Linked DNA regions of Oreochromis niloticus. The protein of the gene in region 1 purifies or fractionates together with the protein of each later gene. This does not show direct contact. Links are inferred from orthologs where the notes say so. Each region holds a gene or a part of one and is shown on either strand. Other genes may lie near its edges.

Evidence for each region.
Region 2: the proteins of mtx2 (region 1) and chchd6a purify together in Homo sapiens (co-immunoprecipitation; 3 studies listed by BioGRID and IntAct, counting the BioPlex papers as one, with this or other methods). This does not show direct contact. The link is inferred for Oreochromis niloticus from reciprocal best matches to the Homo sapiens genes MTX2 and CHCHD6.

What each region holds. Positions count from the first base shown.
Region 1 is NC_031978.2:6,921,701-6,930,612, reverse strand, and holds the start of mtx2 (metaxin-2), read right to left. Parts: upstream 3,555-8,912; 5' UTR 3,448-3,554; coding exon 3,408-3,447; intron 3,294-3,407; exon of another isoform or gene 2,293-3,293; intron 2,287-2,292; coding exon 2,239-2,286; intron 2,163-2,238; coding exon 2,116-2,162; intron 1,418-2,115; coding exon 1,345-1,417; intron 1,045-1,344; coding exon 968-1,044; intron 847-967; coding exon 754-846; intron 641-753; coding exon 602-640; intron 519-601; coding exon 393-518; intron 119-392; coding exon 42-118; intron 1-41. Other genes in the region: homeobox protein Hox-D4b, read right to left, coding at 8,473-8,783. UniProt on the Homo sapiens protein: Involved in transport of proteins into the mitochondrion.
Region 2 is NC_031984.2:29,250,355-29,259,804, reverse strand, and holds the start of chchd6a (MICOS complex subunit mic25a), read right to left. Parts: upstream 3,421-9,450; 5' UTR 3,286-3,420; coding exon 3,202-3,285; intron 1,607-3,201; coding exon 1,513-1,606; intron 618-1,512; coding exon 503-617; intron 1-502. Other genes in the region: E3 ubiquitin/ISG15 ligase TRIM25, read right to left, coding at 4,124-4,832, 5,012-5,179, 6,476-6,615, 7,399-8,025. UniProt on the Homo sapiens protein: Component of the MICOS complex, a large protein complex of the mitochondrial inner membrane that plays crucial roles in the maintenance of crista junctions, inner membrane architecture, and formation of contact sites to the outer membrane.

The DNA.
Region 1 (8,912 bases):
AACCACAAACATACAGATAGGAAAAAAAAAAAAATACATACTGTTTATTAAAAAAGTATGACTGTGTTCCCAGCCTCTGAGAGAGAGCCTGGCAGCATTGACTCACATCTTCATAAACCTGAAATACATGAGGACATAAAGACTTTTAAAACATGTTTGTTTACTTTATTTTTTTTCTAGACAGTCTGATGTTGACGATCAGACTGGGCTCTTTTTCCTACATACACAAATAAGTTATACTTAAGGGCCTTCAAACAGTCTAAAAGATCAATTCTGTAAAACTTTGAAGAGTTCCACCTTTAAAAGAATAAGATATGAAATTATTTTTCTGATTGCAGAAAGGGAAATGTAGTGCTGGCAAAACAGCTTTTCACTTCCAGGTTGTTGCTAACCTGCTCCAACGTTTTCCCTCCCCAGCCAATGGCGTTCATCTTCCTGCGCACCTCCCACTGCTTCTGGTAGGCGAGGATTTTATTGAGAGGCCATGAGTACGGACTGCTGTATCTGGGACGAGAAATCTACAAAAACAGATACAGCTGATTAGGAGGTTATCAAGACTTTAAAAAAACAACAACAACTTATTAAAGCCTGGTGTACACACCTCAGTGGCTGTAGAATCATCACACCACTGAATGTACAACTGTAGAGAGATGAGGACATGGGTGAGAGGATATTTCTCAGACACACTCATAAAAACTGTATATGTGCTGAAGTTCTAGTATCAGTATGTTATGGTTTTTATGTTTTTCATACCTCAGCAGTAAGCAGCATATTGTTGACCAGCTCCATGTACGCTTTCATTTCTGCTCTCTGAACATCATCTAAGCCATCGCTCAGAGAATGACCCTAAGTACCCAAAAGAAGACAAGAGCAGAAAGAAATATGAAAATCTGCTCCTCTACTGGGAAAAACTGGAAGAGAATTTGCCAAAAGAAACAATAACAGCTTTCATCTGTACAACACTTGCCTTGGCTTTAGTAAATTGCACAATCGGCCCCAGTTCTGACACCACCTGGTTGCCCACGTGGATAAAGGGAATTTTACCTATGGACACAAACATAAAAAGGCTGGGCATTAAAATCATCACATTTAATTCAACACAAAACGCTAACCTGCAACAAAGTAACTTCCAGATGCACCTACACGAAACCTGGAAGCAAACTTAGCATTTCATTTTATAGCGGAGTAAGACTAAAATTTCTACTAAAATCCTAACTAACAATTTTCAAACCAGCTTACAGTGTACAGTTGTGTAATGTTTTAATGAGCAGTATGAGTGCTGAGATTACACAGTATTGAGATCAGACACCCAGAATTTGTCTCTGAAGCGGCATGTGTACTTACCAGAAGGTGACATGTATTCAGCGTTTGCTCTGTAGACCACCTGAACTGGCAGACCACACATCCTCAGGTACGCCTGCACATCAGAAACACAACAGAATTAAGCAGCTGAGGAAAAAAGCACTAGGAGGACACTAGCGTGTAACGCCATGAGGTTGGGTTTGCATCTCCTCCCAGTCTCAAATCATTCATTCGGATGAATGCATTAACTAAACATACTGTGAAAGTAAATGAAAAATATTACTTGTGGTATACTTTGATATGCTTTTAAAAAAATCAGTTAACTTTATTTTGCAGCAATGCAGATTTCCTTCCATGAGTAAGGTCAAATCCAAAGTCAGAGTAGAGGTCAAAAGGTCAAATACAGATAATATCAACAACTGCATTTCATACTTGATGCATTAAAAAAAATATATGTATATATTTTCAGCAGTATAACAACCTAATATCAGTATCTTATTAGTTGGCAGTCAACTAATAAGACACCAAATACGTTGACATTAAATTGTCGGCAGCAGCCAATGTTCATCTGTTATCTTATATCAGTTTTGTGCTGGTTAAATGTTCAAAATTGTGCAATGAAGAACTGAAAGCTTTTATACAAGTTCAGTTTTCATTAATTAAATAATGAAAATAGTATTAAATATTTGAATTAAAACCACTAAAACGTTCAGAAGCTTTCCTTGTTTCCTGAGCACAACAGGCCGAGTAATTAACAAATAAACATTACATTGAGCAAGGTGTGTAATGTGTGTACATGTATGTTTGCTTTACCTGAACAGCGAGAGATGAGGCGCAGTCCGACAGGAGAATCTGATCCTCTGCAAAAATAACAAAATATATAAATAGCTATATTGCTATTGACATTATGTTTGTGCCTCCATTTCACTAACTCACCCTTCAGTGGCTGGTACAAGGTTGCATTTTCAGGCCACGGCTCAGCAGCTGTCAACATCAGAAACAGACATGCAGGGAAAGACACACAATTATACGGTGATAATGTGACTCATTAACCTATAATGTTGCTTGTGGGATCGACTGTCAACGTTCTTTTACTAATTGTTCTTTGTCTACTTTTGACTCTTCCTTTAACAATCGTCCCGGTGGATCATCTGCCTTCATCTCACACCAACTCTCCGCATGTCCTCCTAGCCTATATCCATGACCATTCGTGTGGTCTTCCTTTTTTCCTCCTGCCTGCCAGCTCCATGTTCACTACCCCTCCTCTGCAAATATCTAAACCATCTCAGCCTCACCTCTCTAACTTTGTCAAACTCCTTAACCTGATCTGTCCCTCTGATATACTTAGTTCTAATCTTGTCCATCCTGCTCACTCCCAAAGAAAACCTTAGCACCACTGACCTTTGTTAGTGTACCGTCTACAGACCATACATCACAGCAGGTCTCACTACCATCTTGCAGACCTTCCCTTTCACTCTGGCTCACTTCTGACATAAATCACCCCGGACACTCATCTCCATCCACATCACCCTGACTGCACCCTCTTCTTCACTTCTACTCATATAAAGTTATTTGATAAACGATTATAAAGAATTCAGACACGGGGCGCACGGTGCTCACTCAACGACCTATGCTGTTACACCGCCGTCCTTGCAGTACAGCCTCCAGCCACCGGGGGAATCTCTGAGCATGTCTCTGTTAAAATTGATAGATTTGAGCCGATTTTGTAACGATACGGGGTTGTCACTAACATTAGCCCTCTTGAGCCGTTTCCGCTTGAATTCACCGTTCTCCTGCTGATTTATGCTTTTAACAGTAAACAGAAATATGGCGCTATTTACATTAGATTCCTGTGTTACACCTGCCAAGCAATCCACGACATGCAGAATGACAGAGTGCTTTGGGGGTTTTCCAGGCCAGTCAGTCTTTGTTTAAGAAACCAAGAAAAGGCGAACAAAGGCAGCTATAGTAACAGCTAAAGGTCCATATATGTAAGTAACTACATTTGTAAAGAGCCTATGTTACTGTGAACCCTAGCTCTTGGTAGCTAGCTGGCTAATGTTATTCATAATCACTAGAAAAACGGGGTGAAGTCAACATATTACCTGCCATCTGCGACATGAACGCCTCTGCCGCAAGAGACATAGTGCTGCTGTTGTACTCTTATTGTTAAATAATGATTAGAATAATGAGCGATCTGAGCAACAGCACTGCTTGCAAGTTTAAGGGCAAGTACTTGTTCTGCAGTCACTGACCGGTCCGCCTGCGATTGATGTCCGTAAGAGAAACGGTTGCATTAATTTTTAGTTCCACTTTATGGACGCGCATACAGGCTACTGTAGCAATATTGTTATATTTAACTAGAAATAATTGGGGCTTTTGATGCATGGAAAAATACATATTATTAAAGTAGCATTTTTTATTTGGGTTTAAGGAAAAGAACTAACCGCACAAAAAAGTGTATATAAAACTGGCTAAAACAGACACATCATGTCAGAGTGAGAGAGACATGGACTCAGAGAAGCATTATTTGAAATCTATGTGATAATTTTGTTACAGCAAACATAGGATTAAAGAGATAACGTCCAGGGCAGAAAACATACATTTGGAGGGCAAAGTCAGCAAAACCTAAATGTGAATGGATTTTATCTGACTGTTGGTGTGGGGTGGCTGTGGCTCAGGAGATAGAGGGCAGTGGTTCAATCCCACACTTCTCTAGTTTGCATGTTTAAGTATCCTTGGGCAGGTTTGGTGTCTTGCCCAACCTAAGTGTGAATTTTAGGTTAATAGCGTTTGTAACATTCATGCATTCATCCACACTCCATGGCTGCTGCTACCTAGCCTACCTAGCAGCAAGTACAATATCCTTCTTTGACAAGTGTAGATTTTTAGCAGAACTGTATTGTGTGTTTATACCTTTATATCTGCAAAGTTAATATACTCGTTATTTTGCTCACTATTTTATTGTTGCTGTCTTATTATATTTGCTTTTTTGTTGTATTGTTATTTAATTCAGAGGAGTTTCTTTAATTCAATTCAATTCAATTTTATTTATATAGCGCCAAATCACAACAAAAGTCTCCTCAAGGAGTTGCCTCCTTTCCACCAAGTTTATGAACACAGTATTAGTTTTAGCCTTTCTTGTAATTTCTTTAATCAGGAATACTTCTCCAGGCTTCTTTAATGACACTCAAAATTCCATTTTGCATGTTGGCTGCTTTTTCTGTCAAGATGATCTCACATTGCTATAATAATGTCGAGGTCTGGGCTCTGGGGAGGCCAATCCATGACTGATAGTGTTTCATTATGTGTTTTTTCTATCTAGACATGCGTTTACTGCATTGACAGTTTGTCATTGATCATTGTCAAAAATTAAGCTGCTGGCAATCAATTGCTTTCCAGAGGTTCTGGATGGTGGATCAAAAATGTACTGTACTTTTCTGCAGTTATAATTCCATCCATCAAGATCCCCAACATTACTGGTTGAAATGGAGCCCCCAAAAATGATGGCTGTAGCATCTCACTGTTGTACCTGTCTCCTTATGATCTCTGTTTATACTGGGGATGAACCAAAAAATTCACATTTGGATTCATCACTCCATAAGACCAGTGAATACTGATTTTCAGTCCAGTTCTTCAATAGTTTGACATACATCAGCCTTTTGTTCCTGGTTTCCTTCCATTGAGATCATTTCTGCAAACAGATGAATCAACTGAAAGGTCAGATGCATCTGTTGCATCCTGTGTCAGTTGATTTTCAGATACTTTTCACCTGTGGGAGATAGTTTTTAATTACACACTGCTCAGCATGCTGAGACATCCCATGTTTTTGTCTAATAGGTGTTTGGGAATTGCATTGTTGGTGCAAAAAGACTAAATGCCTAAAAATGCTATTCCAAATTAGTTCTTTGATACACACCTTTCGTCCCTTGTGAGATGACTTTTTACTCTTGAATGATTAATATGTCAGTGTTAAGTGATGTAAACAACAAAAAGAAAAAAACATTTCTCTAAAGATAGTCAGGTACAAGGAAAACGACTGAAAAGACAGATAATGTCCAAATAAAAGATAAAAACTTTATCTTTAAAAACTTACAAAAAAGTCACAGCGACTGTACTTTACCTATTTAAAGATTTATCTTTTAAATTTTGTTTATTAATCCAGACTATTTGCAGAAAAATGCTGCTGCATTCGACCATATCTAAACAAGCCTGTGGCACACCCATGTTTCTGTTTTTCTGTAGCTATGTTATTGTCCACACCTTAATAAGAAATGCTTCACTGTTTCATTCTCGTGACATTTCTCACCCTTTCCTGTTTTAAGCTTTACAATCGAACACGTGACTGTATTTAAAGTGACCTGCCATGCTCTTAATCTTGTGAGAAATATCCAACATTCATTCCCGTCTTAAAAGTCTTACTTGTAGGTAGATGTAGTTGTACATTTTTACTGTTGTGTGTTCACAGTGCAAACACAGGTGGACAAAGTAACTGAGACACATTATGATGCATGGATAGATGTAACAACCCAAAATTGTAACCTTTGCAAAGATGTGTATGTTTCTGGTTCATTTACTTTATTATTACTAAGGCTAATTTAGCATTGATTACATTGTATTATACACATTTCTGTTAATCCAAAGGACTAATGATAAATATATCCATGTATTTCTAATGTAAATATTTCCATGTTTTCTTAACTGGAAAAATATTATTTATCTTAACCTGAAAAAAAATTCTCTTTCAGACTGTAATACTTAATGCTACCAGTCGGGGGCATTCCTGTTTCATCACAGACTAGAGAAAGATGGGTAGGTGTACATGCACAAACACAAACACATGCATATCTACAAAGTATGCTGTTCAGTATTATTGCATTCTGTTTCTGTCTATTTAAATATACATAAAATACATGAATGCGTGTGAATTTGTGGTGTGAAATTTTAGGAATAATTGCATCTCGTTTGTAATCACGCGTGTCTTAGTGGGATCAGGTTTTGAATTCCAGATGTTTGACGTTGTTTTGTGGTATTCCCCTGAGTAACATCTCAAACTGCAGACATGCAGAACTTCAGAAGCTTTTCTGTTTTTAGTGAAGATCTGAACTTTCTTTGTCATGACTGTGGCAGCTCTGTGGTTGATCTTCGTGTGATAGATAATCCAGGTTGCTCCGTGTCAGCCCCTTTGTGCCTTTCCTGCACATGTAACCGAGTCTCGAACGGAAGCCACCAATTATTGGCACTCAGCGCTCATTTCTCTTACATATCAACACACAAATACACACAGCCATGATTCCACTACTTCAGGGGATTTTACTTTGATTTACGTTCCTTTCCCGTAAATTTACTATACACATAGGCCTAAATACCGCTAATCTTGATCCTGGCACAAACAATTTCACTTAAATTGATATTCATACTAAAATTCGCGATTTGGACAAACAAGATCTACGAGGGACCCGAATTATTGTATCGGGGATTTATAAACTTCTAAACAAAGATATCATCATAGACAATACTAAAGTCTCATAACATAATAATTTACATCCCCAAAAATTTTAAAACAGTAAAAGACACAGAATACCCAGAAATTTAAATATTTTAAGGCCAAATTTTCTCCTTAGTTTCAACTGCTTTTAATAACTCCTCGAAAATTAGAAAACTGTGACGATCAACCTAAATCCACCCGTGGGACAGCGTGCATGCATTTTAAAAGCGTGTCAACGGAGCCATGACGCACTAGACATTAGTCTTGGCTTGGCTATATCATGAGCCCCCGTTAAGTTGTGACTGCGACAAAGACCGTGCTGCTTAAAGATGACACCGTATTTTATTTATTTATTTTATGTATTTATTTATTTTCTTAAGCCGAAAATGGATATCACGATTTCGCCTTTAATTCATGGTTTCTAATCACACGTCACTTCCGTTGATTCTCTCCCGACCTCATCTTCCCCTACCACCACAAAAAAAACAGAATCATCGGTCCTTCGCTTATCCTCCAACACAGACAAATATTCACACCTTTAATGTTTGAATTTTTTTTATTATTATTATTTTTCTCATCTATTTTTATCAAAACATTTCCACATATAAAATTATTACAGGAATACACATTTTTTTTCAAAAGTAACGAAAAAATAACGGCGAAGATGCTTGCTATAAAGAAAGAATAAAATATGTTTCTAATTAGTACAAATTAAACATAAGTACTGGCGTAGACTATGATAGATATCGATAGCATATTAAACTGGAATCAAAGAGAGAACATACCTATTTATACGCAACATCATGGTATTTCACAGAGGGCTAGTTTAATCCTCGGTGCTAAATCAAACAAGCTTTTTCAGAAAAAAAGATCTCTTTGTAAAACCCTGTAACCCTGAGAAAAGAAGTTGGATTTACAGTCAGGTGTGTGCGTTAAAAAATTGTACCTTCATTTTGGCTCTTTTAAAAAAAAAAAAAAAAAAAATTATAAATGTGGGAAATAAAATCCAAGAAAAAAATATGGCTAATTTCCTTCCAAATATGAATTATTTTTGGATGCTTCTCTGTACAAAATCAAAAGCTAAAACATAATTTGTGCAGTCACTCAACACGCAATTTGGTGTTTCTGCTCTTCTACCTACCCTCTAAGCGCCAGTTTATGTAACATTTTGGTAACGTGCATATTCATAAATTAGGATTTTTCAGCTTTTAGGTAGCTGTTCTATAACCCTGTATTATGTTTACCCTGTAGAGAAAAGAAAACCCTGTTTCATCCTGGTTCAACGCAGTCACGAGTATTTTGCCACCGCAACAAACGAGCACTATGTTTTTGCGTCTTCATCGGATGTCTAAATATGAAGCAATTCCCTGTCTGCACCAGAGAGATGTCGGGGTCTCCGTGAACTTAAAATATATTCATTCATTCATTCATTATGACATTCAATATGGATGAAACCTCAAAAAAGGAAAAAAATTAAAATGCTCCAAAGTTGAAGTTAAAAACAAGGGAAAAAAATACATCATGGAATTTATAAACTTGTGTTCGTCAAAACTGCAACTTTAAAGCAGGTGAGAATTGTTTGAGGACTGCAGTCACCCTGGATAAATTAAGCAACATCAGCTTTGGAGAATGAAGGTGCTACCATGGCTGCTTCGACTGCCACACTCTGCGCTCCTGTGTGTTCAGACAGTTATCACCGTCTTCATGCTGTCGCTGCTGCTGTTGCTGTTGTTGTTGTTGTCGGTCGCTTTCTTGTTTTTGCTCTTTCCTTTGGTGTTGGGCAGCTTGTTGTCTTTCTTCCAGCGCATGCGCCGGTTCTGGAACCACACCTTCACCTGCCGTTCGGACAGGCAGAGCGCGTGGGCCACCTCGACGCGGCGGCGGCGCGTGAGATAGCGGCTGAAGTGAAACTCCTTCTCGAGCTCCAGGACCTGCTGTCGCGTGTAGGCCGTCCGCAACCTCTTTGGCTCCGGGCCCACGTGATTTGGATTAACTGTAAAAACAAAGAACAGAGGTGGTTTACAGACCGCTTTAAATTTATTTTATTTATTTTACAGCTTTTATTTTGTTTTGTGTTCAGTAATGATGAGGATGGGCCTGGGTGAAGCCCCATATTAAGAAT
Region 2 (9,450 bases), on another chromosome or scaffold:
GCAAACTTCTTTGGATACAAAAACAGCTTCCATCAAAACAGAGACATGTTGTACAATCACACAACTCAGAATGGAAATAGGAGCTTGATAAGCTTTACAGGTATTTATTTATGCATTTACTCAACTTGACTTAATGTGAAACCATGCATGATGCCCTGCAGGTTAAATTAGTAAGGACTCTTTTAGAAGAAGCTCTTGATTTAAAGGCTCTCTGAAATGATAAGCGTCAGATCATATTTCTGAAACCTTCACAGTGTTGCATATTATCCTGTTACAGCTCATTTTAGTTTTTTTGATTGAGCCTTCAAAAAAAATGTGGCACACCATCCATATTTTTTGTTTTCTTTCCAACGCAAACAGCAACACAACCTTGTGATTTATAACAAATCACAAAAAACCTTTTGCTCTGATATGCAACAATTCTATTTGCAATGCATACAAATGGTCACCAGGCAGAAATCAGCTTAACTCAAATCTGTATCCTGAATTTCCTTTAACCCACCTCCTCTGATCTTCTTTGCTAAAGGAGGCCGATTTGCTGTGCTGAGAACTGGGTGGGGCGCGCTGCTGTGGGCCTTGCTGAGATTGAGAGCCTGAGCTGGCACTGTGAGAGGAGGCTGAACAAAGACAACAAATGTTCAAAGGACAAAACTATCACACAAGGTAACAACAACACTGGCACTTTTGTGGCTTACAGCTTTACTGTCAAAATAGGGACAAATGCACATGTATAATTAATGCTATATAATCAAACATAGTTGAAGTTTACATTTATATATATACATATATAGTTTGTATGAACTGTAGCTCAAAATTTACTTTAGGTCAGACATTTAGTTGACAGTGAATATGTGTTATCTTATCTTAAAAGAAGTGTAAAACTCTATAAATTTTCTTGCAAATTTTGACTACTTGAAAAGCAACAGTCAATTTCAGTAAATTAAATTCCACCAAAGAAAGAAAGTAGTGACTTTTTTTTTCTTCTTCAAAGGAGGACACCACATCTTTTCCCTGGCTGCCAAAATCATTTCACGCTCTCAGTTTATTCTGACACAGGTTTCCAGTTAAAAAGCTGAGGCAACACGTTTTTTTCTAAAAGAAGTATTTTCTCGTGAGGTTAAACACTATCAGCTGAGGTGATACGTGCGTTTACAGATGAGAATCGAGAACCAGTTCCAAATTGTCTACTCCATTCGAATTGTATGTGTCAAAGTTTATCAAGTTCTCACACGATGTTGGCACATTGTACTCGCAATTGCACATGGCAGAACAATGATGCCAAATTCACAGCGGGTGAGGCTTTTTGTTTTACACCTGAGTTTCAGTCAGTGTGTTCACACTGAGAGATAATAAAACTGTTAATGCTGAGACTCCGTGAAACCTACCCCCACAAATACAGAGAGAATAAACTGTCAGAAATCAAAAGGGGAATAATTAAAACAAACTGGTCTGTAAGCAAACTCGATAATGGCGGAGGCATCAATAAAATTTAATCTCAAAAATGATCACTACCTGTGTTTGTCTGAGGGCTTGAGGCAGGTGATGACGTGCGTTCTGGGGCAATGTTGGCAACTCCTCTCATTCTTTGCAGAACATCTTCTGACAGCTGGACAAACAGAGTCAACCACAAATCATATCATATACATGACGTGTGTTATTTATTTAAGAGAAAACAACATTTGTGTAATCCTTCAGATAAAAAACAAACAAACAAGAAAAACATGCCATTAATAGAGGATCACTGAACCTCTAGTGTTTGTGTATCTGTATGTGTGTGTGTGTGTGTGTGTGTGTGTCTTTGTGTATCCAGGGAAGTCCTTAAGCACTACTACCCCAAAAACCACAGAAGGGAGCACTGACTCACTGTTTCTATGAGTCACACTGAATGTGCAACCAAGGCAGGCTCTTTTCTTACAGACATTTTAAAAGCACTTTGGGTGCTCAGAGTAGAAAAGCACTACATAAAAACTGGTCAACTTACAAAACTGCTCACAGCCATTGCATGTCATTGCATTCCACCACAACATATTAATTTTTGACATGCTTCATTTTCCAGTGGTTGTTTTTCCTCATAATGTTAGGATATTTGGAGGCACACACCCACACCAGCTGATTTTCTGTATGTGTGTGCATGCAAGAAGAATAACTTAAGAATTTTAATTTGCCACTTAATCACACACGCCAACAGGCTAAAGGTGAAACGAGTACACATCAGCATCATTATGACAATGCAAGAATCTCCACAAACGAGTTCAGAAACGAAATAAACATGGTGGTGTATGATTATCTAACTGATGTTGTCAGCGCTTGACAGATGACCGAAAGCTCAGCAAAACTAGACATGCCTATATCCTGTTCAAAATCATTTCTAATTGTTGTTTTGTATATTATCGTTTCCTGTTTTAGAAGACGACAATTTAGTTATATATGCAACTGCATTAGTGTTTCACTGGTTTCACTTACATACACTAACTCGCTCTACTCTTAGATGTTCTAAAAGTATAAGCTAAAGTTAAAAACATATGTCCAACAGCACGTGAAAGCAACACTAAAGAGGCGTCAACTCCATACCAAACCTCGTTTGAAATTTGCTCATTTAAAGCCATCCACTTCTAATTACACATATGGTTAGTTAAAACAACATATCAGGCAGTTATGACATTTATACGATTCTCCCCGTTTTTTCGATACACACTTACTGTGCAGCTGACATGTTCCAGTAGGATAACAGCGTTCTTTAATGCTCTTTAATGCAAACTAAACGTTTTATCGCGTTAACGTTGTTAGCAAATGCCAGCGAGTAGGTGACAGCTAAAATGTTTAATTTCGGGTAATTAGTTTTCCTGCTAGGTGGGCAATGTATATGCCGAATTTACCTTAAGGTCCTAAAGTTTTCTATATTTCTTAGACCATCTCCCTAATGTATTCCTTTACTTGTGAACAAGGAACATTACTATTTTCACCTTATTACCAATGGAGTTTGGGGTAACAAAAAGATTTACGTATTTCAGCTCTTTCAGCAACCTATCCCACCCTCTGCGTCCCTTTGCACCTCCTCATTTTAGCAGTGACACTCTACCGGTCGTAGACTGATAGCTTGAACAAAGCAACAACTTAATTTGACAATAGCCAGTCAGTGCTAAGCGACACATTAAAGTAATGCTAGCATGGCTTCTCAAGTGCTAGCTAAATTAGCATTACCTTGACTCCACGGAGAATTCTGACCCTGTCCTCATCGTCGACACCGAAGGACACTTTTCTTGTTGTACTCTCTCCCGAACCCATGCTTCTGCTGCAAACGCACAGCTTTCGTGGTGAGAAAAATGTTTATAATATGAAATAATGTTGCTGTCCTGCCCAATGACAGAATGTGAGACAGATGGGATGGGTTGCCAGGTTCTTCGTGAACCATCCTCCTCTTGCACATGTGTAAAGGTCAGATCGTGCGTTGGCAAGAAATGATAAAATTGCGTGTGAAAACGAAATTGTTAATAAGAAATTATTAGATGTGTGTTCTGGGGAAAGTCATATCAAATGCAAATTGCTTAATCGCTTTTTTTTTTTTTAAATCAAGGATTTACAGGCACACCTGGCAACTCCAGGGTCATACTTGAATGGCTGAAATATCAACAGCCAATCAAAGGCTATATACGGCATAGATTATTTCTATGCACCTGTATAAGTATTGAGACAAAGTTGGTCACAAGACGCACAGAAACATTGCCAGATAAGTTTATTTGTAGAATAAACACAAAACATGTCTCAGTTTGTCCCTAAATGTCAGCGTCTGCGCACACCAGTGTTTACTGTATGGGGGACAAACACAACATTCAACACGTTACAATAACATTTACAAAACACACAAAATGAAAACATGATCTTGTGACATAAATGTTTATGCCTCAAGATCTCACAAAGGTAATAGGCGCCTGCATTGATAAATCTACTCTATTAAAACACCCTAAGTATGAACAACAAATTTTTGTAAACAATCTCATGTGATTGTAATGCTAAATGTATACGATGCAGCAATGCCAGGCAGCAGACACATTGTTGGTTTTTGTGTTAGCTGGAAGGCAGTTCACTTGGCTGACTAACAAAGCAATTTCTATGCAGGACGTATTCACATCCCACTGCTCAGTGTGATCCAGGAGTCTGGTGTGTTTGAATGTATACCGAACGCCGGGTAAACAGGCTCTTTAAACACAGCCTTTAAGGTGTGGAGGTGCTCCCTGCGCCCTTTGGTGCTGTGGAACGTCAAAGTTCCCCCCTCATAGTCCAGTGTGACCTCAATCTTGACCGGTGGTGTGGTCACTTCCTTAAGGACCACATTCGAGGAGCACTGGCACACTGTCAGCTTGCCATTTTTCCACTGCAGCCTCCAGGACACAGTGTTGTGCCCCAGACGGCTGTGGTCACCACGGCGAGGGATGCTCTTGTAGCACACACCCAGTGACCACATGCTATTGGGTCCCACTTCTACAACCCATACGTGCTCGCCGCCAGAGAAACCCTGGCTGCACAGGATCTGAGGTGTGCTCGTGAAACGCTCGGGGTGCTCCGGGTACGACTGCTTGTTGGAACTGTATTTGACTGTGCGCAGATCGTTGGACACCAGCAGGTTGGGGTGGGCGGTGTAGATGCTGAAGGTGAGTTCCAGTGGGTTGAGGAGGATATGAAGAGAATCCATGAGGCGAGTCATTTCTGTGCAGAAGTCTTGGGTTTTGAGGCCTCCCTGCAGGAGCATTGTATTGAGTGGAGTCTTTGAGGGGATGTAGGAGGGAATGGCACTGGTGACAACATCTCTCAGCTTTTGTTCAATCTGCATGAACCTGGAGAGCAAAGATTTATTGTTACTTACCCCACTCATCTAGCCATATGCCATGGGTAATAAACAGAGAAGTGTCAGTTTATCAGTAAGAATACTGCATCATTTCCACTTTCTTGTCATTTGTACATTGTTCTATGTATTTCTTCTTTTTAATTGTAATAGCAGGGCAGATTTCTGTACCTGTGTATAAAGATGCATGTGTCTGTCTCATTGAGGACCTCTGTGGCGCTCTTTTGGGCCTCCATCAGCTGCTGCTGCTGCTCCTCAAGTGCACTCATACCTAGCTGCCAGCTTTTGCGGCGCTGTCCTCTCTCCTCCTCCAACAGCGAAAGCAGGCGATCCCTGTACCTGTATCACAGCACAGCACACAAGTGAAGAGGACTGGTCAGTTTTATTCCTTTTATTATCGCAATGTTACTAGACAGAATCAGGTGGATCGATTCATCACTGTGTCTGCTTTAGAGTTGTACATGCATCCATACAATGAGAAATACTCACAAAGCTCAGAAAATATTCACCAGTCTAAGTTTTAATCTGTGCTAATTAGATAAGGTTAGCCAGCTAGCTAGATCATTTAAAAAAAAATCAAACAAAAGAGCTAAACAGATAGAATCTAATGATGTATGTGAGTTTTTTGTTTTGTTTTGTTTTTGTTCTTTCAGTAAATACCTGGTACTGAGAAAATGTCTGTGAGATGAAACTGGCTGAAATGCTGCTGGCAGGCTACTTAAATGATAAGCAATGTGCTCAGAGGCACACCCAGAAGTTCCTGAACTTCCAGAAAGTTCCAACCCTCAGCACGAACTTCCATATATTTATTCAGACTGACAACATATGACATAATAAACTCCCCCAAGAGTCCCTAAGCCCCGGGAAAATTCCTGCTATGCATGCTCAATATTTTTATTTAGCTTAAAGTGCAACTAGCTCACACACAGCCTCACTAATGTGACTGAGCTCTACATTTCAGTCTTACTGCCTCACTTCCAAAGATATACTTTCTTGAATGTTTTCTTGAACTTAAAGTAGAAAACTAGCCTTTTGTACTCTTTACTCTCAGTAGATTTAAGGATTTATTTTAAAATCCTCATATTTACATGCAGAGTACTAAAAGGCCAGGCTTCAGATTATTTATCTCTCTGTTGAGAATGTTATTGATTGCCTGTTTATTTCATTGCTTTTTATTGACTATTATTGTACTTAATGTCCTTTTTTATGTGGACAGTGCTTCAAATCTGTGTAAAGTGGTTAATAAATGAACTTACTGAAGTATTAGGGTGTTATAAACACCCTTGAATCTATCCCACAAAACAGACACTGGTAGGCTTAAAATGCAGATAAACTGCATTCATTACATACATGCATGCTACATTCTTTGAGGGGCCTGCGTTTTGGTCTGTATTTTTATTTGCTGCTGAAAATATGAAGCGCATCCTGTAAATTCGCTTGTCAGAGAGAAGGTCCGGAAGGAACACTGTTCTACCACCTCTGAAATATGCAGTCTGGGTTTTCCACACCTTTTTTAAGCCAATATCATTTGTCATCTTGCTGTTTGAAAACGTACTGTGCATGAACATTTCCTTAATTACACCACATGCTACTTTTTAAGGCAGTGTTACTAGCAGCAAATGTGCAGCAGGTTACCTGTCCACCAGAGCACCTATGCTGTCCATGACTGTCACAGCCTTGCTGACCATTTTGTCTCCTACAGCTTCAGAGGCTCCCTGATCCTCTGCTGTCTTCTGCAGGAGTCCCTCTGTCAGCTGCAGTCTACTAGAAATGACCTGCAAACACACATATAATATGTTTTAAGATCTTCTGTGTTTCACACAACAGGATTCTTTCTATTGTGTATAAGCATAAAAGATTTCAGATCTGGAAAAACTGGATGGCCTTTTCTCGTAAGTGGCTTTCAGAAAACAAGTAGAGAATACAGATCTATATATACATATATGTAGTACTGTAAATGTCTGTAATGTTAAGTAATATATGATCATGTTCCATCAACATTTGATCATTTTCTTGTCCAAAATATTAATTTTTACATTCTGACTTTGTACTTTTACAGTGTATGTATAGCACGACTCTGCCAAAGGTCATCAGGTTATTCCCATCAGACAGATTTGTTTTGCATACCAGATCTTCACCACTCCCCGAAAATGGCAGTGAGTCACTGAGGTGCCAAGCCCTTAATTTATATGTGAAACAAGTTAGGTTCCCATGTCTGTGTCCCATATGCATAGAGCACAGTCTTTTAAACATTGTTCCAAAATTATATTACAGGATTTTCAGGTTTTGGCATTTCTCAACAGTAAGTTCCCTCACATATTTTTATAGCATGAATCATGCATTTGTATAACTTGAATATTTTATTCATCAGTATACAAGCCCTGGCTGAGCACTACTTTCACTTTTGTGCATGCTCAGCTGAACCAGATGTGGCCACATTTTGTAGGTTATCAATTAAAAAAAAATACATATATATATATATACATATATATATATAGACATAATAATCCCCCTTCCTAATATTTAATGCTACAATATAACAGATATAACAAAAATACCTTATTTCGGGCCTCCAGCCCTCGTCTCATCTCCTCTTCAGCTATGCTAAAGGTGAGAACATCGTGGCTCTCGTGATGGCCCTCTACGATGCATGTGGTGCACAGAGAGATCATGTCGTTGGAACAAAAGTACTCAAGGGGACGCTGGTGGATGGCACAGGCCTTCACTCTCAGCTCCGTCGTGGGCTCCACCACGGGGTGGGTCCTGAACAACTCCTTCTCGTTGTGTTTCTGAAGGTGTCTGGAGCACAGAGACACCTCACACTTCAGGCAGGTCTTCACGGCGGGCGACTGCTCGTCTATGCACTGATCGCAGAAAACCTCCATTTTGGTATCCACGCAGTCGGCTTGCATGTTCAGCAGCGGCGCGGTGGCCTTGTAGTTCTCAATGATGCTGCGAAGTTTGAAATTTATCTGCAGGTTATCCATGCCAGGATACTCCTCACGACATTCTGGGCAGCGCGGCAGGATTTTGCCAGTCTTATCCGTGCTGTCAATAGTCTTGCGGATACAGGATAGACAGTAGTTGTGCCCACAGGGGAGAGCCACCGGGTCAGAGTAGAGCTGAAGGCAGATGGGACAGCTCAGCTCGTAGGCGAGCTGGTCCTCTGGCTTTGACAGCGACATGATCCGAGGTGGTGAGACGGGTAGCTGCTTCTGTTCGAGCTTAGTTTCTCTTCTTTTGTCAGGTCTTCTTTAAATACCTTTGACTAATCTTACTTCATTTCTCCTTTCTTATCACTTCTACTTAACCGTCAAGCCCTCAGGTGAGTCTATACAGAACAGGCCAGAAAGGCAGTGAGTGCATACTTATCCGACCAGGAGGAGGTGTATCCACAAATGTTTGCAGGACAACATTCCGTTCTAAGACGCCTTGTTTGCTGTGCTGCCAGGAACTGACACCATCATACTGGCTGCTGTTGACGGTTAAAATAGTTCTGACAAATCATCAGAACTTGTTTTAGGAAAGAGGTATGAGGATGCTGAGTACTGCTGGATACCATAAAGCATGAATTTTGGTTAGATAATACTTAATATGTGCAAAAGAGAATCCATTTGGGGGAATTAAATGCTTTCACTTTCAGTTTCTTTAAAAAGTTCTACAACCTATAAAGAGTATCACCAAGCTGAAGGGAGAATTGTGGCTCTGTCTGGCAGTAGCTCAGTTTTGTTTCATTTTGGGGATTTAAAGAGAATGGACATAGAGTATAGACGAACGTATCAATCATACACTCACATCCACTGAAATATCTTGTTGACTGTAAACACTGCAGGGGGAGACTCATGATTTCCACCAGGGTAGGTAGTGTTTAACAAAGAAACTGTTTGCGATACACTTTTCCACCAAAGTAGCAGTCACCCACGGACAAAAGGTGAAATGGAAGAAATTTTTCAGCAAAAGTAAAGATCTTACTCTAAAATTAGCCATCCAACCATTTCTAAGAGCTTTCAAATGTTTCCAAAATAGCCGACAGCTGCAGGTGCCGCATCCGAAAAACACATCACATAAGCTTTCAAGAAGATACTCGAGCAAAAAAAAAAAAAAATCTTTTCAAGGTTGTCGAGTTATCGGACGTGTCAAACGTGCACTGCTGTATAGTACATGTGGCATGTTGCTGATGAGCATCCTACCTTCCTATCATTATAGCGTCTCTCACTACACTCCTCAGGTGTGTTTTCCAGAATATCTGTTAGATAACAGTAGCATGTATTTTTTCATAAGGCAGCTGGGACAGACGCCTGCTAGCAGTTTGTAAAACTGAGTTAAGGGTTTACTTTTTGACCACTGTTGACAAAACAACCACATTTTCTCCCGTTCTTGCTTCACATTTGTATCACATTATTGTAATTGCCTGTTTAAATCACTTTACAGTAAATCACACATTTTTGGAATTTGTTTCTGGTTAAAAGCTTCCCCAACAGCACTTTAGACAACTCTGAGCAACAACTAGCGCTGTAAAAACATTGTAAACATCAAAAAATGTTCATTACTTGACAGTACAAGCTTTAAAAATATTCCTGAACAAGATTGTCCTCCTTTTTTAAAAAAAA